3 linked regions of the Pelodiscus sinensis genome follow. The protein of the gene in region 3 purifies or fractionates together with the protein of the main gene of each other region. This does not show direct contact. Links are inferred from orthologs where the notes say so. Each region holds a gene or a part of one and is shown on either strand. Other genes may lie near its edges.

The links.
Region 1: the proteins of PTPRO (region 3) and DNAJB11 purify together in Homo sapiens (affinity purification with mass spectrometry; 3 studies listed by BioGRID and IntAct, with this or other methods). This does not show direct contact. The link is inferred for Pelodiscus sinensis from reciprocal best matches to the Homo sapiens genes PTPRO and DNAJB11.
Region 2: the proteins of PTPRO (region 3) and SDF2L1 purify together in Homo sapiens (affinity purification with mass spectrometry; 3 studies listed by BioGRID and IntAct, with this or other methods). This does not show direct contact. The link is inferred for Pelodiscus sinensis from reciprocal best matches to the Homo sapiens genes PTPRO and SDF2L1.

What each region holds. Positions count from the first base shown.
Region 1 is NC_134720.1:2,942,688-2,950,819, reverse strand, and holds the start of DNAJB11 (dnaJ homolog subfamily B member 11), read right to left. Parts: upstream 3,217-8,132; 5' UTR 3,165-3,216; coding exon 3,040-3,164; intron 1,927-3,039; coding exon 1,770-1,926; intron 290-1,769; coding exon 192-289; intron 1-191. Other genes in the region: TBCCD1 (TBCC domain-containing protein 1), read left to right, coding at 4,598-4,948. UniProt on the Homo sapiens protein: As a co-chaperone for HSPA5 it is required for proper folding, trafficking or degradation of proteins.
Region 2 is NC_134725.1:16,832,888-16,841,294, forward strand, and holds the start of SDF2L1 (stromal cell-derived factor 2-like protein 1), read left to right. Parts: upstream 1-5,191; 5' UTR 5,192-5,693; coding exon 5,694-5,853; intron 5,854-8,407. Other genes in the region: CCDC116 (coiled-coil domain-containing protein 116), read left to right, coding at 74-1,066.
Region 3 is NC_134711.1:111,931,001-111,938,221, reverse strand, and holds the start of PTPRO (receptor-type tyrosine-protein phosphatase O), read right to left. Parts: upstream 3,411-7,221; 5' UTR 2,861-3,410; coding exon 2,780-2,860; intron 1-2,779.

The sequences.
Region 1 (8,132 bases), on a different chromosome or scaffold from region 3:
AAGCATGTGTTGAACACGCTGGTCAGATCACCCCGTCACTAGCGGTCAATGATGATTTATTTCCAGGGCAAAGGCCACGATAGGGCACAATAGCAACAAAGCATCTGTCTGATGCTGAAGTCTGAAGGAATAGCCGTGTCCTTAATTAGTGTTCCTTGCCTGCAGAGCAGTTTGCAGGGGTGACAGCTTACTGTGAGAAGATGTCTCCATGGGAACCCTGGTGACCATCCTTCAATCCCTCCTCGCCATAGGTATCATACTGCTTTCTCTTCTCCTCGTCTGAGAGCACCTGAGAGGGCAGAGGATGTGGGACAAGCACTAGTGAGTCAGGTTATTTAAACAAGCCTTTGAGAGGAACCCGGCCTTTACCCCAAATGAGGAATAAGAGGCAGTGGAGAGATCCAGATCACTTTTACTATGGCGGTGCTGGTCACCACTCCATAATCAGCACCAAGTCCAAGGTTGTCAGTTTAACAAGAATCTTTATTTTGCAGAAATTGGCTCTTTGGAAGTCTCTTGTCACCATATCACATGCATCTCATCGAAACAGCAAACCACCCAGACGCGCTATCATTCAACGCTGTTTCAATTACTCTTGGTGGGCTAATGGAAAAAGGATTAGCAGCGGAGTAAGAGCTCAAAAACACAGTCCTTTCGGCAGTCTGTCACACAAGTGTGTCGCTCTTCTTTGTGAATCACACGGCTACTCCCCCTAGGGATGTAGAAATCCCGTTACCCAGTAAGCAGCACCTGCTCCTTGCCCCAATCTCAGTAATACAGAAAGAGCATTTGTCCAGAGAGCCTTTTATAACCTTTCACCCTGCCTCCATCATCTCAAGTTTGAGCACCAAAGAGAAGCCACCAAAGAGGATGATCAACCTGCCATGGTGCAAACATTGGCGCTCACTTCTGGGAAAGAGAGCGAGCTGGAGAGCAGGGGTCTTGGCCATATGAAGGCAGAATAACGTCCCAAACGCAGGCAAGGTGTCACAATTAGATGTACTGATCTGCTGAGCCAAAAGTATGAGAGATGGCTGTTGAAGTTCTGCACCAGTGAGAGCGCACTGCTTAAATGGGGGCTGTTTGTGATTTCCCATCCCTGATCTAGTCTGACCTTCGTTGCACAGGTCATGGAATTTCAGCCAGTTATGAAGCCCAAATCAAGCCTATATCTTGTGGCTGAAGTGGAGCAGTCAATCAAGTTTTGGTGCTTTGAAAGAATAAGCTTTTGTTTTCCAGAGAAGAAAATGTGCTACGACAGAGGTGGCTACATCTTGAGCATCCACAGTAATCAAACTGCCTTTGGCCCCAACTACTGCAATAGCTAGCGCAAATCCAAACTAGGCATCTTCAAACTCCATTAAAAGGAAGCATTCCACACCCTCCCTTGCATGTTGCAGGGGAAACTTAACTCCAAAAATGAGATAATTGGGATCTACAAGCTGGCCCGGGGCCTCTACTAGAAACCTTAAATAGAGTGACAGCAATCAGGTTAACACAGGGCAGGCTCTTCACAATTTTTCGCTATCACTCCTCTGCCATTTCCAGTCAATAAACCTGTCTGACTTTTCACTTTTGTTGCAGCAATTCATTACCAACACTGAAATGTAATCATTGCTGACTCTCCCTGATTAACAACAGCTCCAAGGCCATCACTAGAAAACCGGTTGCACCCTCCTGCAAATGAGGAGATGGAGGAAGAGACTCCACCCAGACAGGAAAACCATGTTTGTTAGTACTCAGAGCAGATACTCTATTAACTCACTGACCTCATAGGCAGCTCCCAGATCCTGGAACTTTTCTTGCGCTCGCGGATCGTCAGGGTTGCGGTCCGGATGAAGCTGCAAAGCCAGTTTCCGATAGGCCTTTTTAATGTCTTTTACTGATGCACTGCGGGACACCCCCAGAATCTTATAGAAATCCCTCCTGAGAAATAGAGAGCAAAGTAAACATCTAGTCATGGCCTCTGCCACAAATGCACCACTTCTAACGAGACAACCACAGAACACCACCACTGCTACTGCAACTGAACAGCTCAGTAGGGTGAAGGCACCCTCCTGGAACACCTACGAGTTTCAATCAGTGCCATGACAACTATTTTAGTGGAGAAGTTGAAGCACAGACGTATTCAGTGACTGGCCCAAAACAGTGTGGAGGGTGTCCGTGTGTGTGTGGGTATGTCTACACTTGCACCCTCTTTTTGCTGGGGGCCGGGTGGGGGAGGGGCTGGGGGAGCGGTTGGGGCGGGGCGCTGCTGGGGGCCGGGTGGGGGAGGGGCTGGGGGAGCGGTTGGGGCGGGGCGCTGCTGGGGGCCGGGTGGGGGAGGGGCTGGGCGCGGCTGGGGGCCTGTGGGGGCCCGGTGGGGGAGGGGCGGGGCGCTGCTGGGGGCCCGGTGGGGGAAGGGCTGGGGGCCCGGTGGGGGAGGGGCGGGGCGCTGCTGGGGGCCCGGTGGGGGAAGGGCTGGGGGCCCGGTGGGGGCGGGGCGCTGCTGGGGGCCCGGTGGGGGCGGGGCGCTGCTGGGGGCCCGGTGGGGGAGGGACGGGGCGCTGCTGGGGGCCCGGTGGGGGAGGGACGGGGCGCTGCTGGGGGCCCGGTGGGGGCGGGACGGAGCGCTGCTCGGGGCCCGGTGGGGGCGGGACGGAGCGCTGCTCGGGGCCCGGTGGGGGCGGGGCGCTGCTGGGGGCCCGGTGGGGGCGGGGCGCTGCTGGGGGCCCGGTGGGGGCGGGGCGCTGCTCAGGGCCCGGTGGGGGAGGGGCGGGGCGCTGCTGGGGGCCCGGTGGGGGAGGGGCGGGGCGCTGCTGGGGGCCCGGTGGGGGAGGGGCGCTGCTCGGGGCCCGGTGGGGGAGGGGCGGGGCGCTGCTGGGGGCCTGCGGGGGCCCGGTGGGGGAGGGGCGCTGCTCGGGGCCCGGTGGGGGAGGGGCGCTGCTGGGGGCCCGGTGGGGGCGGGGCGCTGCTCGGGGCCCGGTGGGGGAGGGGCGCTGCTCGGGGCCCGGTGGGGGAGGGGCGGGCCGGGGGACGGCCCCGCCCGCGCTCACTCACCCGGCGCTGGCCTCGCCCAGCAGGTAGAGCAGCAGCAGGCAGAGGCGGCCGAGGGAGCGGGGGGCCATGGCCTGCGCGCGGGGGGTCTCGGGCCGGCTCCCGGAGCCCGGCGCGCCGGTAACCATAGATATGAAACGGAGCCCGGCGAAGAGAGCGGGCCAATGGGCGCGCGGCACAGCGCGCGGCCCCGGTCACACCTCGCCAATCACAGCCGCACACTTCACCAACCGCCCGGCCGGGCGGGCCAATCACAGCCCACTACATCAGCACTGCGCCTCCTGACCAATCGCTGCTATCTGCGTCACCGATACCTGGGGCCAATCACAACCCCAGGAAGGACATCCTCTCCCAGGGATCCCTCACCCGGAGAGTGCCCGGCTGAGGGCTAGCCAATCCCCGGCCGCGCGCGCCCCTCCCGGCCAATCACAGCGGGGGCGGAGGAGCGCTGTACCACTGCGACAGTGGCCTGCTCACGCAGAACAACAGTCGCGTGCTGACCCCTGTCGCTGTGGTGAGGGAGCGGCGGGGCGGGGCAGGTCTAGCTAACGTCTCGCTGGTCGCAGCCGCAGTGCGCACGTGCGGTTGCTAGGCGCTGCTGAGGGGAGAGCTGGGATTCAAACGCGGCGAGGCGCGGGGCCGGTGAGCGGGGCCTTCGCCTAGAGCTGGGGCCGCGGGGCTCTCGCCTGGGGGCGGGGCGCTGCCTCAGTGCAGGGGGAGGGGCTCTCGCCTGGGGGCGGGGCGCTGCCTCAGTGCAGGGGGAGGGGCTCTCGCCTGGGGGCGGGGCGCTGCCTCAGTGCAGGGGGAGGGGCTCTCGCCTGGGGGGCGGGGCGCTGCCTCAGTGCAGGGGGAGGGGCTGTCGCCTGGGGGCGGGGCGCTGCCTCAGTGCAGGGGGAGGGGCTCTCGCCTGGGGGGCGGGGCGCTGCCTCAGTGCAGGGGGAGGGGCTCTCGCCTGGGGGGCGGGGCGCTGCCTCAGTGCAGGGGGAGGGGCTCTCGCCTGGGGGGCGGGGCGCTGCCTCAGTGCAGGGGGAGGGGCTCTCGCCTGGGGGGGCGGGGCGCTGCCTCAGTGCAGGGGGAGGGGCTCTCGCCTGGGGGGGGCGGGCGCTGCCTCAGTGCAGGGGGAGGGGCTCTCGCCTGGGGGCGGGGCGCTGCCTCAGTGCAGGGGGAGGGGCTCTCGCCTGGGGGGGCGGGGCGCTGCCTCAGTGCAGGGGGAGGGGCTCTCGCCTGGGGGGCGGGGCGCTGCCTCAGTGCAGGGGGAGGGGTTCTTGCTGGGGGGGGCGGGGCGCTGCCTCAGTGCAGGGGGAGGGGTTCTTGCTGGGGGGGCGGGGCGCTGCCTCAGTGCAGGGGGAGGGGCTCTCGCCTGGGGGGCGGGGCGCTTCCTCAGTGCAGAGGGAGGGGTTCTTGCTGGGGGGGCGGGGCGCTGCCTCAGTGCAGGGGGAGGGGTTCTTGCTGGGGGGGCGGGGCGCTGCCTCAGTGCGGGGGGAGGGGTTCTTGCTGGGGGGGCGGGGCGCGTGGCCCGCTTGGGCGCCGTGTGCTGAGTGTGTGCGCTCCGCAGGTTGCCATGGCGCGCGTTGCCATGGAGCCGGCCGCGGTGCAGCTCTGGGTGAGGACGGAGCCCTTCCTGGTGGGGGCACTGCAGCTCCTGCCCCCGGCCAAGCTGGGCCCGCACTACCTCCGCAAGATGGCCGCTTACGCCCGGGCGCGGGCTGCCGAGGGTTGCTACCCGCGCCTCACCTGGCCCATGTGGCGCCACATCGCCTGCGGAAAGCTGCAGCTGGCCAGGGACTTGGCTTGGCTCTACTTCGAGGTCTTCGACAGCCTGGCGGAGCGGACGGCGGAGCAGCGCCTGGAGCGGGCCGAGGTGCTGTCTGGCTGTGCCTCCGACGAGGAGCTGGAGCAGCAGCGGAGCAAGGCACGAGAGACAACCCTGTGATCCTTCTCGGGGCTCACACTTGTGGGCCACGGCACAGGGCCGTAGGGTTAGCACCTTCGGCCGCCTACGCCTAGCCATTGGGTCCGAAACGTTGCACAGCCCCATCCCAGCAGCTTTTTCTCACGCTCCCCGGGGCAGCGATCGTTTTGCTGTCTGTGTATGCAGGTCACGCTACCATTCACGTGGTTAGCTTTCTGCTTGACTGGGGTTAATACCAGCCCTGCCCTTCAGAGCTGCAATGCTACCTTGCCTTTTCAAGTGGAGATCAAATGCTGTTCAGCAGAATTGCGTACGGTTGGTATAACCAACTAGGACATCTTTCTAGAGTAAAACATTTGACATACTCCCTTTCTCCCAGGATCTTGTTTAAATCTTCTGTGATGAGTTTGGTCACAGAAATCCACTTGAGCCTGTCACTTGATGTGCTGAAATACCACTGAGCCTGCCCCGTCTTACTGTGCCAGGCCGTCTGGTCTCTGTGGCAGTGGCACAGAGTTAGGGTTACAGTTCTCAACAGAGCCACACAGACACTTAGCTCACCTCTGGGAGGGGACAGAGCACCAAGGTGCACAGCCCCATTGGGACTAGAAACCCACGTAAATCAGTATTGCTTTGTATAAAGTTTTATACAGAGTAAGCTCTTAAATTTTTAACCCCCTTTATCAATGAAAGAGAAAGATGCACAGCTATTATGCTCTCTCCCCCCAGCAGGGATGTTTAATGTGTACAGTTAACATGCACAGTAACATGCAGCCCCCCTTTATCCCTTCCCCCCGGGGAGATGGCTTAAAAGCCAGCTCCCATGAGCACTGGCTCCCATAGAGCTGTCGGCTCCCTCATACTGCTGCTGCCTGTCCCCCTTGCATGTAAATGTGTAACCGTTGAAAATTTCAATGATTACATGTTTACAAAAATAAACATTTTAACATCCCTACCCCTCAGTAACAATGATTTACACCAGGGAATTAATAAATGATTTTATTAAGTATAAAAAGGAAGATTTAAGTGGTTGCAAGTAATAGCAGACAGATCAAACTAAGTTACAAAGCAACATAAAACACACCAGCTAAGTGTGGTTCTAATACTCAAAGAAACTGGTTACTTGCAGTTCTGACCCTAACAGTAGTTCTAATCATCTTTCCTCACAAGATGGGTAGCTTCAACTTGAGTTTGAGCCTTCTTAATGTCCAGTTCTAAGTGGTTGCAGCAGACCTCTGAGATGCTAAACAGGGGTGTCAAGTCTTGTGGCTGTCTCTGTTGTTTGGTTTCCTACCTATATCTCGATATTTTCAAGGCAGGAATCCCTTGTGTTCAGATCAGCCCTTTTCATTTTCTATGAAAAAGTACAGCATCCAAAATGGGTTCCTGTATCAGATGACCTGACCACTTGTCTTGGCTGGGTCAACCATGTCCCAGCAAACAGGAAAACCCAGATTATTTAGAGATCAATGCCCTGAGTACCAGGTCATTAAGTTCCTTGTGTACTTCAAATGACCTTCGCCTAGCATGTCTAGATTAGCGAACAGGTATACATGTCATATGTTAACTTCAAATACAGGAATGATACATGCACACAAATAGAATAAACACAGCTTGCAGATTACAAGCTTTCCAATGATACCTTGCAAGAATTATTTTGTAAAAAGCATATTCTATATTTCCATAAAGAATATGAAATACAGTCATACCCTTAAAAGCAGAGAAATCCCAAGTCTGATTTGTTCCTAATACACTATTGTTTTTTCACACAACATGGGCAGGTGAGCACAAAGGAGACTCCCGTAAAGGTGACCTGCAGACAAATTAAATTAGCCTAGCCCTTTTTTCCTCCTGTATGATGTGTAAAATAGACGTGAACATCTACATTTTTTTCTTTTTCACTTTATCAGGATTGTCAACTATTTCCCCCCTGGCTTTTCTGGCTGACTTGTAGGGAGAAGGGGGGAAAGAGAGGTCTCAAAATTTGTTTCTCCACAAAGGGTGGGGCCACTCAGCAAAATCATTCTTTAACATGTTAGTTAGTTTGTCTTACCAGAAAGGACTTTTAAACAGTCTGATTAAAAATCCACTCCTCTTTTTCTTGCCTCTTGCAATGTCATTTTCTAGTCATTCTAAGATTAGGCAGGATCTGAATTTGTAATGGGCCATGGGGGAAAGCAGAGGAAGGCTTTTGTCTTCCTTTGAACACAGTTTGGACTGCATTTTTTTGTAGAGAAATGACCCACCTCCACCCAAAAGGACAAGTCCAATATTTGCTCTTTGCATGTCATTGTTAAAGAACTTTTTCTATGCTTTTTGACAAACTAAACACTTTCAGTATTTGTTGATTGTGGCCCTCATGGAAGGGTCTAGAGCAGCGGTTCCCAAACTTTTCCAGATGGGGACCTGTTTTGACAATTCAGGAAGATTTGGTGACCCACGGCAATTCAAAAACGGGAGGAGCAGAGGGGGCAGAGCCACCTGAGGAGACACTTGGCGACCCTTTTGAAATGTAGGCGACCCATAGGTTGGGAAAACCTGGTCTAAAGGAAAGCTTATTTTTATGGGAGGAACCCGATTTCACTTCCTTTTCTCTGTGCTGGAAAAGCCAGAGGTCTTCAGAAATTATAATGCTTTCGTATGGCAAACCCATGTGGTGTAAAGAGACATGCTAAGGAGTGCACATATAAAAAAAAATGACAGTCCTGAAATCAAATGAGCTTAAACAGCAAACTTCCTAGCCCGGAGGTAAATATCAATTAGTCATTTGCACCAGCTCCTTGGGTCTTGTGCTCATCCACAAAGCCCAGATGCTATTGAATAGCAGGCCTTTGGTAACTCTTGCAATAGTCAAGACTGCAAAACAGATTTGTGCAAAAAGAGGGCTATACTGTTTAGAGATGTAAAAATGCATCTATTTAAGTAAATGTGTAACTGCTGTAAATTTCAGCAGTTACACATCTACCAGCACATGTGGGGAGCCAGCTCCCATGGAGCCGCCTGACCCCTCTTGTTGCTGCTTCTGATACAGAGGCAGCAGCATGAGCGGGGGGCGGGGGGGGAGCAGAGGCAGGGTCCGGCACACATGCCTACTCCCCCTCCCTTGTGCTGTTGCTTCTGCATCAGAGGCAGCAGAGAGGGCGGGTAAGTGCCAGCCAGTGCTCATGGGGAGCTGGCATTTAAG
Region 2 (8,407 bases), on a different chromosome or scaffold from region 3:
TTACATTTAAAATGTTGGTATTAAATTGACTTTTTAACGAATAACCTTTTTTTACTGTTTTGCCTACTGACAGATTTTGTATAAAGATCAATCAGGTGGACGCATGAAAGGCAAGCTTTACAGAAGACAAGAGGAGATTGTTAACTTTCTTGTGGAAAATGCAGCCAAACATGTATTGTACAAATATAACTATGAGAAGTCACTGTCAGAAAAGCTTGGGTTTATATCAGTTCCTGTAACCAAAGTACTCCTGGAGATAATGTTTGGCTTTAAAAAATTAAAAGGCAGTGGCATAAGATTATCATCACAGATAGACTGGGCCGAAGTATATCAACAGGTACATGCAAAAAGACCTGCTAAACCTAAAAAACCTGGTTTAAAGAGTGGTGACAAAAAAATCACTCATTCTAAACCAAAAATTATTACTGGCAAAGTAAAATTAATTAAGAAACCCACTGAACAAATCACTTCTCTGCCCAAAATAACTGAAATAGTTCCTCTAAAATTCCCTGATGATTTCCCACAAAGTAGAGAGGATTCACAAGGTCAAGATTCTGTTGAATCTTTAAGACAAAGGTCATCTTCTAGCAAGTCTATTATTCCTGCTGATAGTCAGAGAAAATTGTCTGTTGTTTTGCTGGACACTGAAGGCCAGAATTCTACAGAATCTCCTAGGCAATCCTTGTCTTCTCAAAGGGCTAGCATCACAAGTGAGAGCAACATAAAATCACCAACTGCTTTACCAGACACTGAAGTCCAGAATTCTGTAGAACGTCTATGGGAAGCCTCATCTTCTAGAAGGGCTAGTGTCACCAGGGAGAGCAGCCGAAAATCGTCAACTGTTTTACTGGAATCTGAAGGACAGAATTCTGTAGAAACTGTATGGCAAGCCTCATCTTCTCGAAGGACTAGCATAACTGAAGGGAGCAACAGAAAATCGACTATTTTACCAGACACTGAAGGCCAGAATTCTGTAGAGTCTCCAAAGCAATCCTCATTGTCTCAAAGGACTAGCATCACGGGAGAGAGCAGCCAAAAATCATCAACTGTTCTCCCCAAAATTTGAAATCCTATCAGTTGAAAATTAAACAAATATATTTGTAGTTTATTGTCAAATTTCTTCTGCTTATTTACATGTATTACTAACACAATACCTATTTTAGGTCCCTACTCCACAAATTACATGTCAGGCAGTTATACATTTCCAAAAATTCTTTGCAACCTACCCTTTCTTTTCACTACTTGTAGCTGTCCTTGAGTGATTAGTTCCTATTACAATTATTACTATCGGTTATTATTTGTAGTGCTGCTGTGCTTAGAGCCGCCACTCAGGGATCCAATATGCCAAACAAAGTGAAATAATAAAATAACTCAATCTGGAGAGGCATAATTACAAACAGTTTATCAATGTAGGAGAAAAGAAGTGGCAAAATAGAATAGTTGTAATGAGCCATAGAAGAGTTGGGGGGAGGATAATTTCTTTCTCTCCACTGTAATGTCATTGATTTCAGTGGAAAAACTCCTTATTTACACGCACTGATCTCTACAAGCCTTGGGACTGGTCCTGTGCAAAGTCAGACTCAGGCCCTGAATGTCTTGCCTCAAATTAGCAGCAATCTGAAGACTAGAATGCAATGTTTGGACATACATCCTCCATACCCAAGCACTTATATATGATGAGTCTAGCTAAATCAGTACAGTCTGGTGTATAGATTAAACCTAAGTGCTGCCTGCCATTTTAGCTTTGTTCTCAATTACTGCTGTTGTCATGCACACTAAACATAACGCTCAAAGCTTGTTTCACAAAAAAACCCTCAAGTAAAGTACAGTTGCCGTGTGTCAGAATACTCTTCTTAAGATACACCCCCTTAATCGCTTGGATACCAGTCCTGCAGCTCTAATCTACAACTGATTCCTACTGAAAAGTTCTTTAGGGCCTGATTTTCATGGATGCTTAGCTGTGTTCTCTGCAGTACAGCTTCACAAGTGATCAATCAGCCCTGCCCAGTAAGTGAGCTCTGTGCACTAGGCCCTGAGCTTCTGATTAATCACATGTGAAGCTGTGCTGCAGTGAAGCTTAGCAGGAGCACTGGTGCTCAGTAGCCATGTGAGTAGGAATCTGAATGGTTAATGGGTTAACCAGTAAGCATCACGCTTTCCAGCTAATGCTTCCCAGTTATGGTTAATTAGTAGGAGCTGGAGTAGCGCCTTGCTCAGTGTGGGCAAGCAGTTGCTCAAGCTCAGAAGGGCCCACTGTGCTGCAGGTAAGGGCACTCTAGACCTGCTGGAGCAGTCCCCACCCATCATGAGCTCAGCCTGCCCAGAACAGTGCACCATGGGCAGGGGCATTCCAGCCCAGTCAGAGTAGCCCCCACTTGCAGCAGGCCTGGCCAGAGCAACCCCACTCCCAACCCTATTGAAGGGGTTAACCAGTTAAACAGAACATAACATAACAGGAATTTACATCCCTAGTTGTGAGTACTTAGTATCTCTAAAAATCAAGACCACAACCTAAGGACTGTAAGATTAAGGCTACATCTACACTGCAGGCTTCTTGTGCAAGAACTGTTTTGTGAAAGGTCTTGCACAAGAGCATGTCCACACGACCATGGGCTTTTGAGCAAGAGATGTGCTTTTGCACAAGAGCATCCATGGCAGTGTGGACGCTGTCTTGCGCAAGTAAGCTCTGATGGCCATTTTTAGCCATAGCGGTTTCTTGTGCAAGAAATCCCTGTTGCCCCTCCACACTGCCTTCTTGCGCAAGAGGTCTTATTCCTCATGGGGAGAGGAATAACTCTTGTGCAAGAAGCCTTCTTTTCTGGTGCTTTAATATAAATTTACTTGCACAAGAACACGCATGCAGTGTGGATGCTCAGCAAGTTTTTGCGCAAGAATGGCCGTCCTTGCGCAAAAAGCTTGCAGTGTAGATGTAGCCTAAGTGAGTAAGAGCTAAAGACATTCTAGCTGTTGGCTGAATTGTGGTTAGTTTCACTGATTTCGCTTCATGTGCATGAAGAGAAATTATAATTCTGCCCTCCAAGAGGCACATCTCTATTGCACCCCATCATATAATTTCAAGGGAGAGTTTATCTGCAGCTCACAGCAGCCTGCTAAATCCAACAATAGCTCTTATAGCAATAACGTGGTTGTTAATTGCCATAGTTGTTTGGCACTGATGGGGTTTTTTGTTGGCAACTGTTCTAACCCAATTATGTTTCTAAAGTACAACTGAAAAGCACTGTAAAAAGCACCACATAAACTGCACTAAATGCACTGGGAATTAGTGACCTCCCAGAAAGACAAACAGGTGCCAGCTAAAGCCCCATATTATTGATTTTACATGGCTAACATAGCAACCACAGACATCTGTTTTGTCCTGTTTAAAAAGCAGTAACAAAAGCGATCTGTTGTCTTAGAAGAAGAGAAGAGCCTTCAAGAAGAAATAAAAATAAGGTATTCAAATGTCAAACTGCACCATATTCATTTGCATTCTACTGGATCAGATACAATCAACAAGCAATAGAAAAGGATTTTCTGATTAACAAAAATGGACATAGTGCAGAATGTGGGGGTACCATTGTGGTTCAGGGAGATTTAGGACTGAAGTTTAATTTAATCCAGTCTATTTAAAAAGGCATGAACAAAAAGTGTGGGACACTGCTCTACAAGTATAATAGGTTAATATAGGCAAGTCAAATAACAAATCTTTGAGTGAATGATTGAGTTTCATCATGTAGGGGGGAAGCAAAGGGCTTGGTAGATTCAGAGCTGGTGGAAAATGGAGTCTAATGAGTATCTCATGATGTTCTCACTAGCCCAGAGTGGTGATGTGCTACCCAAACTATCCAAGATAATTCAAAGTAGAGTCCCACTTTTATGCTGTTGCATCTTTGTTGCTTGGCGACTTTGTTCTGACCCAAGAAAATTATATTGCTTTCATAAGAGCATTACATTGGGTAGCTTGGCATCCTCACACCATGCTTCCAGTCATGAATGTAGTATATTATACAGGCCCTATATCCAATGTCAAATGCATACTTAAGACAGTCCACGTAGTTCTCTGAGGCTACGTCTACATTGGCATGATCTTGCGCAAATACTCTTTAACGTGAGAGTTCTTGCGTTAAAGTATTTGCACAAGAGAGCATCTACACTGGCATGTGCCTTTGCGCAAGAGCATCCGTGCCAGTGTAGACACTCTCTTGTACATGAAAGCTCCAATGGCCATTTTAACCATCGGGCTTTCTTGCGCAAGAAATTCATATTGCCTGTCTACACTGGCCTCTTGTGCAAGAACAGTTGCACAACAGGGCTTACTCCTGAGCAGGAGCATCATAGTTCTTCTGCAAGAAGCACTGATTTCACACATTAGAACATCAGTGTTCTTGCGCAAGAACTCGTGGCCAGTGTAGACAGGCAACATATTTTCATGCCAATGTAGACACAGCCTCAGGCTGTGTCTAGACTGGCCAGTTTTTTCGGAAAATCAGCCACTTTTCCGGAAAAACTTGCCAACTGTCTACACTGGCTGCTTGAATTTCCGCAAAAGCAGGGACGAGCTCATGTAAGATTGTCAGTGTTCTTGCGGAAATAGTATGCTGCTCTCATTCAGGCAAAAGTCCTTTTGCGCAAAAGGGCCAGTGTAAACAGCTCAGCTTTGTTTTCCGCATAAAAGCCCCGATTGCGAAAAAGGCAATTGGGGCTTTTTTGTGGAATAGCACGTCTAGATTAGCACGGACACTTTTCCGCAAAAAGTGCTTTTGCGGAAAAGCGTCTGTGCCAATCTAGACGCTCTGTTCCGAAAATGCTTTTAACGGAAAACTTTTCCATTAAAAGCATTTCCGGAAAATCATGCCAATCTAGACGCAACCTCAGTGTCATCTCCTACCCTGTTACTCCTGTAGATAAAGTGACGAGTAACACTATTTGTGACTTAAAATTAAACCAACCCTTAGCAGAACATGTTTATTATCCTCAAAAAAAAGGAGGGATTTTTTTAGTTTGGTGTTGGGGGCTTTGTTTGAAAACTTTTTAAGTTTTTCCATATTGAGGGCTTAATTTTGTTTTTTTGGAAAGGCAGAAATTCTCAGTGGATTAAAAAAAATAGATCAAGTCTGCGCATGGTGTTGCATCACTGCATATTGACGTCCCACTGCAATGGAAGGCAGTCAGGGCAGGCTGAAGCATGTTGTGCTTTGCTTGATGTGTGGGTGCCAGAAGGAGCTAGCTGAGCGCAGGGCTGATGGATGCAGCTGGGCCTCTTGCCGCTGCCAGTCCCTACAGCAGTGACTGTCCATGAGGCAGCCCCGCACATCGAAGGCCCAACCACCTGCTAGTTGCCACCTGCCCTACACGCGCCCCACTGACTAATGCCCTTGGTCTCCGAATTTTAGTTTCCCTTTGGGTCAGTTCCCTGCGCGGTGCCACGCCGCCTCTTCTGATTGGTTGCCTGGGCATCCTCCGCTGCCCAATGGGCTCCCCCTTCGTGTACGCTGTGTGCGGCCCGAGCAGGTGGCGCCCCAATGCGGCGGCGAAGTCGGAAGAGAGGCGGGCGGGGATTGGCAGGCTGCGGCGCTGGCATCGTGCGATTGGCCAAGATGCGGAAGCGGCAAGCGGGCTGCCGGTCGGTTGCGGAAGCGGCTGGGGCGGTTAGTTGCGCGCGCGCGGGCGGGCGGGCGCCGGGCTGAGGAGCGATGCGGCGCCGCTGTCTCCTGCTGCTCCTGGCGCTGCTGTGCCAGTCGGGCCGCGGCAAGGAGCCGGTGCCGGGCGCTGTGACCTGCGGGTCGGTGCTGAAGCTGCTGAACACCCGGCACAACGTGCGGCTGCACTCGCACGAGGTCAAGTACGGATCAGGTGAGGGCCGGGGGGGGGGGGGCAGGTAGGCCGGACTGAGGAAGGTGGGAGCGCGGGAGAGCTGGGAGGCGATGTCTGGAGGGGGGGGTTGCTCTGTGACGACAGCGGGAGGGGGGTTTGCTCTGTGGCGACAGCGGGGGGGGGGGGTTGCTCTGTGGCGACAGCGGGAGGGGGGGTTGCTCTGTGGCGACAGCGGGAGGGGGGGTTGCTCTGTGACGACAGCGGGAGGGGGGGTTGCTCTGTGGCGACAGCGGGAGGGGGGGTTGCTCTGTGGCGACAGCGGGAGGGGGGGTTGCTCTGTGGCGACAGCGGGAGGGGGGGTTGCTCTGTGGCGACAGCGGGAGGGGGGGTTGCTCTGTGGCGACAGCGGGAGGGGGGGTTGCTCTGTGACGACAGCGGGAGGGGGGTTTGCTCTGTGACGACAGCGGGAGGGGGGGTTTGCTCTGTGGCGACAGCGGGGGGGGGGGTTTGCTCTGTGGCGACAGCGGGGGGGGGGGTTTGCTCTGTGGCGACAGCGGGAGGGGGGGTTTGCTCTGTGACGACAGCGGGAAGGGGGGTTGGCTCTGTGACGACAGCGGGAGGGGGGGTTGGCTCTGTGACGACAGCGGGAGGGGGGGTTGGCTCTGTGACGACAGCGGGAGGGGGGTGACGTGACCCCGGGCGCTGCACTCAGCTGCCCTGGGGAGCCCGGCTCGGGCACTGCCTGCGGGACTGGTGGGCTGGCAGCTCCCTGCAGCGGGCGGGGAAGGCAGCTGCTGCGGGGCGCGGCTGGAGCCCAGAGGGGAGGCGCTGCCCGTCTCGACGAGGGTAGCAACGGTGCCAGTGCGACTGCCTGAGCCGGGGGGGGGGGGGGGGGGGCTGCCCTCATCTGTAAGCACGAGGCTTTCGCGGGGCGGGGAGGGTGGCTCCCGAAGAAACCTGGCGCTGTTAGGCGAGCGCCGCTGAGTGGGCTCCCGCGAGGGCGAAGGAAGAGGGTGAAAGGAAGGGCAGCTCCCACGGTTAGTGCCTCTGCCGCAGAAGCCCTGTAGGAGGGAGAGAAAATGCAAAACTGGCCTTTTAGTTATCCCCGGATTTCATTCTCCATACAGAGGGCATGTCAGCAGCCAAGTCCTCACATACCGCAGGCTTGTCACTGAGCTTCACATCTTCCTTAGCAGTAAGTCTGCAGGACTGAGCCATTCAGAACAGTTCGGGGACGTCCACAAGGACGTCTGGAGCCTTCATTAAAACTGCTTGATTTAATGAACACGCTTCTGTTTCTTCAGAACCCCATAGTCTATGGTGCAGAGCACCTGCCTCTCCCGCTGAAATCAGTGCAGGGAATGGTGAGGCACAACACTAGTGTTTCCTGTAAACTGTGCATTTGGGGTCCCAAGACAGATGCAGATATTGCCCAGCTTGATTAATGGCTACGGTTTGTTTTTCCACTGGTGGTGCATATTTGCACAGGCCTTGGTACACACATAGAAATATATTTCGCACATGGATTTAAAAGATTAGAGAAAATATTGCACAGAACTTTTGAAAATCATGGCATCCCTGGATAATATTCTTATGTATGTTAGTTTCTCTTTGCTCCTCAGATGTTCAGAATTTTTTTTTTCTGGTTTTAGATCACAGGTGAGATTTAGAGATGTTAGTGTATAGTCATTTAAATGATTAACCAATAAGACTGATAAGCTTGTTCTTATAGATTAATCTAAATAACTACATGCACACTTCTTCATTGCTACCTCTATCAAAGGCAGTAGGGGAAGGCAGGTGAGAGCCAGTTCTCTGGGGGAGTCAGCTTACAAGCCGGCTCCCCATGAGCGCTAGATCTCACGGAGGTACCTCTCCATGACCCTGCACTGCTGCCTCTCTGTTAGCAGTGAGGAGGGTGAGAGCTGGCTTCCCACTTGTATCCACTCTCACAGAATTGCCTGCCCTCCCCCACACACACTGCTGCCTCTCTGTGGTTATGTCTAGACTGCATCCCTCTGTCTGCGGAGGGATGCAGATTAGGCAGGTTGACATTGCAAATGAGGCAGGGATTTAAATATCCCGTGTCTAATCTGCATAAAAATGGCCACCGTGTTTTGCCAACTCAGCACTTTGTCAACTCAGCACTTTGTCGGCAAAAAGCTGCAGTCTAGAAAGGGATCTGTCAAGAAAGAAAGCCTTTTTCGATAGATCCCTTATGCCTCCTGCAAGTTTATGCTGCACTTTAAAGTGCTACACACTCCTTACAGGGTGGGAGAAAACATCACGCACGCTCCCTCACCCCCAAGCCCTGAATGGCCTGGGGGCGGGAGGAGCACGAAAAGTTTCCTCTGCCCTCCCCCCCACCCCACGAGGAGCACACAGCACTTCAAAGTGCCATGTGCCCATGCAAGGCGTGGGCAGGGTGAATAAAGCTTCGTGCAGCTCTCCCACCCCCAGGCCCTGATTGGCCTGGGGGTGGGGAGAGTGTGCAAAGCCTCCTCCCACCCTGCAAGGAGTGTATTGCACTTTGAAGTGTCATGTGCTCCTCGCAGGATGGGGGTAGGGCGGGAGGAGGTTTCTGGTGCTTCCT
Region 3 (7,221 bases):
CAACACATGTAGACATACTTGAGCTAATTTTGATTTAGCTATGATGAGTACCAATATCAATGAAGCCAGAGCAGCAGAAACATAGGCTGTATAACCCCACCCAGGACCCTGGCTAGCCTGTGTTGTTACCCATGCTGCCACAACACCATGTATTTTTATTCATGTTAGTCTAGCCAGCTTTGATCTAACTAGGTCTACATGTGCTGCAGATGTACTTCTGATTGTAGTGTAAATGTACCCAGAGGTATCAGGCTCTATGCAAGCTCCCTCCGATAACTCTTCCAATGCATTTGAGTCCTGTCCTTTCAAATCCCTTTTTGTTCCAGCCTACAAATTCCAGATGAAGCTCTCTCATCATAACACTTCATGACCATTCAGATGGATTAATAAGAGTAAGCTGGCAGTCCTGAGATCATATTCACGTGCTTCCAATGTTCCACAATCCTGATCTGCAGCTTTACCTAATATTTCAGTGCCAAGTTACCACACAATTCTGAAGTATCTCTTGAAATTCCAGTCTTGGGTCTTTCTTGAGCAGTCAGTGGTACTATTGATAATCACTGATTCTGAGCCAGATAAATTTCTCCTGGGATGAAATGAAATCCTGAGGCTTTAGCTTCCTGAACTTTTTCTAGCCCACATTTCTTAGAATTTATTTTACAGGTACAGTATATTCCATGCAGCAAACTTTCGGCACATTTGCAAGAGGCCTTGCTTAGGCAAAACACTTCAGAGCATGACACCCTCATAGCCATCAAAACACTAATACACATGCTGAAGTGCTTTGCTGAATTGGGACCCAAGCTAGAATATAAATGAAGTGCAGATCTTTCAGTTCTCCACAAGACTGTCAATGCCCTGTAACAGTTTCCTCCTTAAAGGATCTGTGATCAAACTCTTTGAAACAAAAGCCTGTTTTCTATTCACACTTGCAGCTCAAACAAATGTGTTTCAGCACTTGTGAAAGTGAGGGGGAGCTTCCAACAAATATAGTTTGAACAGATGCAGTGGAAGCATCTCTTAAATAATTTTGCAAATGCAATGTTAGTCTTTACCAGACAGCACTGCTGTTCTAGGACCAGATCCTGCAAAATATTACAGTAATCCTATTGATTGCTGAGAGACTACTAGCACCAGTAAGGATTACTCAGAGGAGAGAGGAACTGTAGGATCAGGCCCTTAGCTGGGGAGTTCTTTCAGGCAGCGATTGACAATTATCCAAAACTGTGTGTTGGATTTGTAAAATGTGCAGAATACTGTAATTTCAGTGCCATGATAATTACAGACAATGGCATATGCCTGTGCAGTATGTATATTTCCTATTAGTGAAGTTACATGAAGCATATTAAATAGGTTTAAGGAAATGCTGATGCTTTTGCTCTTTCAAGATAAAAATATCATGTGTAACCTAGCTTACAGCATTAAGAAGAACTTTGAAAAATTTATCCCAGGAAGACATTTGGAGCTTGAGCAGAGAACAACAACAATCTGAAGGTAATGCCAAGCAAAGCTGTGGTTAAATTTTTTCCATTTTAACATATTATCACAATATAATAAACTAAACACATGAAGAAGACCGATATATTAGTGACAGAATATTTTCGTATCCAGGCTACACATTTCTGAAGTTCTCTTATTTATTGGGCCGATCCTGTCACTGGTGCTGAGCATGTTTATTGAAGAGCTTCTCAATTACCCCACGCTTCAGCATCTTGCAGAAACAGAGTAATAGGGTGCTGAAGGGATAGCTCCAGTTTACCTCATTTCACTCCTAGACAGTTTGCTGATAAAAAAAAAATCAGTTGCAAGGAAAGAACTAAGCAAACTCACTGCATCATGGAATTTAATCACTGTGCAATTACATTTTCAAATCACTCTCAGAATGAATATCATATTATCAACCTTTCAGCATGTATCCCAGTAATTAAATAACGGTACCCTGGCAGAACAGTATAAAATAAAGCTACAGTGGCTACTGCAGCCTGGCGGCCCATGTGTATGGCACACATTTCTGATGCGTGCCATGATTAATTGACACATAAAAAGCCAGATGTTAACTGACATCGCTCAATTGAGCTCATTGGAACGGAGCTGGATAGTCACCAGCTGAGGACCAGGTTCTGCATCTCCAAAGGGAATGTGCAGGTGCTCCGGGGCTGATGGTCGCACGTAGCAGAGCAAGGGAAAGACCAAGAGGGGTGGCTGTGAGCTCAAGCACGGCTGGTCACTTTGAATGTGGGTCTCTCCTTTTGGTTCCTCTCTCTGCCCAGAGGACGCAGGAGCCAGAACACGCTGGCAAGAGGCACCATGCGATCAAACAATAACAGCAGCAGCGCTGGGTCGTAAGTCACATTCAAGGCAACACGTTTCCGCGGAGGAACACAAAGCCCGCTGCATATGCCTGCTCGCCCTGGGCTGCGGGGACACACAAGAAGCCGAGAGAGGACCACTCCCCCCCCCCCACCAAGTGGAAGCGACCTCCTTCTGCCTTAGGGAGCATATTCCACCAAACCAGCCCGGGCCGCCAGTGCCTATCAGCCCTGGTGGAAGAGCACAAAGGGAGCGGCGGGAGGGGGAGAAATGCGCCAAATCCACATTTAAAAAAAAAAAAAACCACCCCAACAATCACACCCACGAAGCCCCACGCAGGCAGGAGACAACAATCAGCGAACCCGCCCAGCCCTAGCTCCCACTAGCCGCCCTGCGAAGGGAGGGCAGTGGCAGGCGGCGCGGGGCCAGGCAGATGCCCGGGCTGTCTGTCTCTCTCTCTCTCTCTTACCTTGAGGAACAAAAAGAGCCAGAGCAGGGAGCAGAGGGGCATCCGGGTGCTTCTCCCTCCCTTCGCCAGGGCTCGGACCATTGAAACGCAGCGCCCCGCCGGGACCGCACGCCGGAATCTCCGCAGGCTTTTGCGTCGGGCTGGCTCCAGACTGGGCTTGGCAATGGCGAATGGCTGCAGCCTCACGCGGCTCCAGGCGCGGGCTGCCCTCGCAGGACACGCAGCCTTCCCCGCGGCATGTGTGGGTTAGGGGGGGGGGGGTATTTTTTCCAGTAGTTTCTTTGATTGCTCAGTTAAAGGGGGGGGGGAGGGTGAAGCGGGACTCTGCTGCTGCTGCTCCTGCCTTGGAGGTGCAGAAGGTGATCAGCTGAAGCCTCGCGTTTCCCTCCCCTTCTGGCTTTCATTGAATGAACGAGGCGGTCTCAAGCCAGGCTCAGGGCTGAAAGTGGCGAGCAGCCTCCCGTCTCTCTCCTTCCCACCCTCTGTTAGCTCCGCCCTTCCCCAGAGCGCCCCCCAACCCGAGCTCTCCCGCAGAGACTTTCCCCAGCCCGCTCTCTGTTTCCCCTTGATCAGTGTCAAAACAAGTCACAAGCCCCAACTCCTCCTCAGTCAGCCCGCTCCCCCCTGCCTCCCGGCTAGACCCTCCGCTCTTGCCGTACACGCAGCTGGCCAAAATCACCCCCAGCGTGCTGCCCCACCCATTGCTTCCCGGAAAGGTAGTTTCAAATGAAGCTGCCAGACGGAGCCGCGTCAATATGGCTCTAAAAACATGATTATTCCCTGTGGAGACCCACTCTGTCTCCCTAATGCCCAACACCACTATCGGTAGAACAACACTGCAAATATTAGAGACATGATGGTGATTTCAGACTTTCTAAAGGGGAGTTTCCCAATCACTTGCCTCTACCTCTGGTTTCTATGAATACCTGTCCCACAGTTACAATATCTGAGAATAAGATCCAGGGTCTAATTATGGCCCTGATCTCAGTTTTGACTTAGTACACAAAGACCCTGGTAACTGCACCCAAACAGATCACCACAGCCTTCTGGAGGGGCTGCTTACAGTGCTTAAAGTTCAGCATGCCCAGAGGTTTTTGCAGGATCCAGACTCAAGTGCATAATCATACCAGGTGCTGAGTAGGGATGTTAAATTGTGGGTATTTGACTAATTGAATAGTTGATGTATTTTGCATAGACTAGCTGATAGGGCATCTCTGCCTTTGAAGTGTAAAACCAGCCCTAGAGCTGTTGCTACACTTTAAAGGCAAAAGCACCACATAGAGCCCAGACTCCCCACTGACCCTGGGCTCTGTGTGGCGCTGCCACTTTCAAATGCTACGAGTCAGGCTCCCTGTGGCATTTCAAAGAGGCAGAGATGCGTGAAGCCTGGGGTCAGTGGGGAGTCCCCCAGCTGACCCCAGGGTCCACACAGCACTGTCGCTTTGAAGTACCTCCTTCTTCCCCCCCCCCCCCCACTTGCTGCCTCTTTCTGATAGCATTTGCTTATTGGGTAGTCGACTAGTCTTTCACATGTCTAGTGCTGAGCATCAATTGCGGGTGCTCAACATCTTACAGGAGGCATTCAGTATGAATCCCCAAGTGCTCTAAAATCATTGCTTAACCAGGCCCCCCCCAAAAAACACTCCATTCAGACCTCCAGGAGGAAGAATCTGGTCAATAATCTAAGATTCAGAGAAGATTATAAAATCCACTTGATAGTTCTTATTCCCTGCTACACTGGTGTAAATCAGGAGTATCCTTATTGAAGCCAGTTGAGTTATAACCCATGTAAGCATGAGGAAAATTACACCACTTCATATAAATGTACCTGAAGCATAAAGCAGAGCTGGACTGATGGGGTTGCATTGATTGGACTTTGTTATTGGCCCCAGACTGCTTTCTATTTTTTGTCTCGGTGATCTACTGTTTGGCAAATACAGTGGCAAAATTAAAATGTTTTGAAATGTCTCATGTTTCCGCGTCACTAATTCAGAATGCTGCTTACTAAATTAAAGAAAATCCCATGGATGAGTCCTTTAAATTAATCAATTAAAAGTTCTTTTCTAACAGTGACAACGAGTTAGATAATAAGAGGGCTCTGTTTAACTTACATGCAGTATCTCTCTAATTTTCACGTAATTTGGGTCGTGAGTCAACAGAAGCTCTGATTGCTATGAATCTGGAGCTAGATGTGAGGTTTTTTTTAAAATGAACTAGACACTTAGATGGTGCTAGCTGAATTATTTCCTGCACTTGATGGGGATTAGTCAGAAAAGAATAGGAAATTTAGGTAGTGGGCAGGACGCAGGAAGCTTCCCACATTTACAGACCCAGAAGGAAATTGTTTGCATTGTTTGTGTAAAGGGGTTGAAGAAAGGGTAAAACTTCACTTTTATATTTTGCACAGTCACTACCATATGACCCTCGCCCTCGTCTTCCTGCCTTTTGAAATCAGTGGGAGGGTTCAGGGTATTCAACACTTTTCGAATGACCAGGCTAGTGTGTACATACAACTGGACTCCACAGAAGATCATCATTTTTAATTATTTGTATTAGGGTAATCCCATGGGACCAACCAAGTTCAGGACACTGCTGTGCTAGACACTATATAAATGGGAGGATGCAAGGAGTGGAGAGGGGGTGAGAAGAAAAATGAGGGCAGGGCATTGTGGGAAGCAGGGCAGAGGCAATATGCAGTGGCTGCCTAGAAGTTCTTGCAATCTAAATAGAAAAGCCAGATAAAGCGAAGGAGAAAGGAACGTGAGATTGAAGCAGAGTGAACAAAGTGATGGTTGGCACACTGTGGTGATCAGTCATGTCAGAGTCATAATTTTTTGTGACCGTTCCCTGGAAAGACTTGGGAAACAACTGAAAAACTGCAAGAAGATGTCAGAAAGTAATAAAGAGCTACAAGATCCATTTGAATGGATGGTGAGAAAAATAAGTCCATAAAAAAAATGGGGAAGCATGGAAAGATTAATTTATTACTCTGTTTCCTTTTAGCACCTGCACAAAAAATAGAAATAAACGAATCTGTTTATTAATAAAACAATAAGATAAGATAATTAACGAGAACCTTTGTAATATCACATTTTCAAGTAGAATAATAATTATAACAATTTTCTGTAAATTAAAAAGGTTCTAATGAGCAACTACCCAAAAATACTTCATGACTAATAGCACCTATCTACTGTGTACAGAAGAAATGCTACACCATCAGTTTGAAAGGCATACAACAAAAAAGCATGCAATGCCCCCACATTATCCGGCGGGTGGGGATAGCAAGCAAGAGATCTACAGAGCAGTTCGGTATTCCCAGTTACCCATTGGCCCTTAAATCAAATGATTGAAAAAAGACCCTGAACCTCCACCCTGGGCCCTCTGTACTGCTTTCTTGTCATGTTTTAATAAGGGTGTGGGGATCTGTCTCATAGGAAAATCCCTATCTCTAGTGCACTTTAGAATATTGGCCAGTGGGACTTGATAATGAGACACATGCTTATGAACTTTTTTGTTATAACAAAGGCTAAGATTTTTCTCCAGTATTTTTAGTACAAGTCATGGACAGGTCAGGTCAATAAATAAAAAATCATGGAAGCCCATGACCTGCCAATAGGTTTTACTAAAAATAACTGATAAAATGGAGAGCTGACCGGAGGGGTTCCTACACCAGTCACAGTGGCTAGGCATTTGCAGGCGCCTGCTTAAAGCTCCAATGTCCCTCCCTCACCTGCAGCAGCCAGGAGCTGCAGGGTGTTCACTGGAAGCAGGTGTACTCCATAACTCCCAGTCATCATGGGACATCCCTGAGTTCCCAGCCATCTCAGGGGGACCATGCAGCTCCCTACCACTATGGGCTAAAGTTGTAGAGGTCACTGATTTCCTGACTTCTGAGACCTCTGTGAAAAAATTGTAGCCTTAGTTATGGCACTAACCTAGGAATTGGGACACCTAGGTTAAATTCCCTGTTCCACCACAAAACTACCTGTGTGACCTTGGGCACGTCACTTACAGCAAGATCTTTAAAGATATTAAGGCTTCTAACTTCCATTGATTTCAATACTTCTGAGGAACTAGGCTCTAGCTTCTCACTAATGCATCTGTAAAATGAAGATAACATTTCCTTACTTCACAGGGGTGTTTTAAGGATAAACACAAAGAACGGGGGTGCTTTGAGATTTACTGATGAAAAGCACTACAGGCAGTCCCCGACTTACGCGGATCCGACTTATGTTGGATCCGCACTTATGAACGGGGCTTTTCTCACCCCGGAGCTCACGGGCGGTAGGTCGCCACCCGTGTCCTCCGGGGCGAGAAAAGCTTCTCCCGGTCTCCCCGGTCTGCTGGGGGGGGGTCCAGCAAAGCCGCTGGACCCCCGCAGCAGACCAGGGACACCCGAGCAAAGCCGGCACCTGGGACCCCCGCCACCTAGGCGGTTTTGC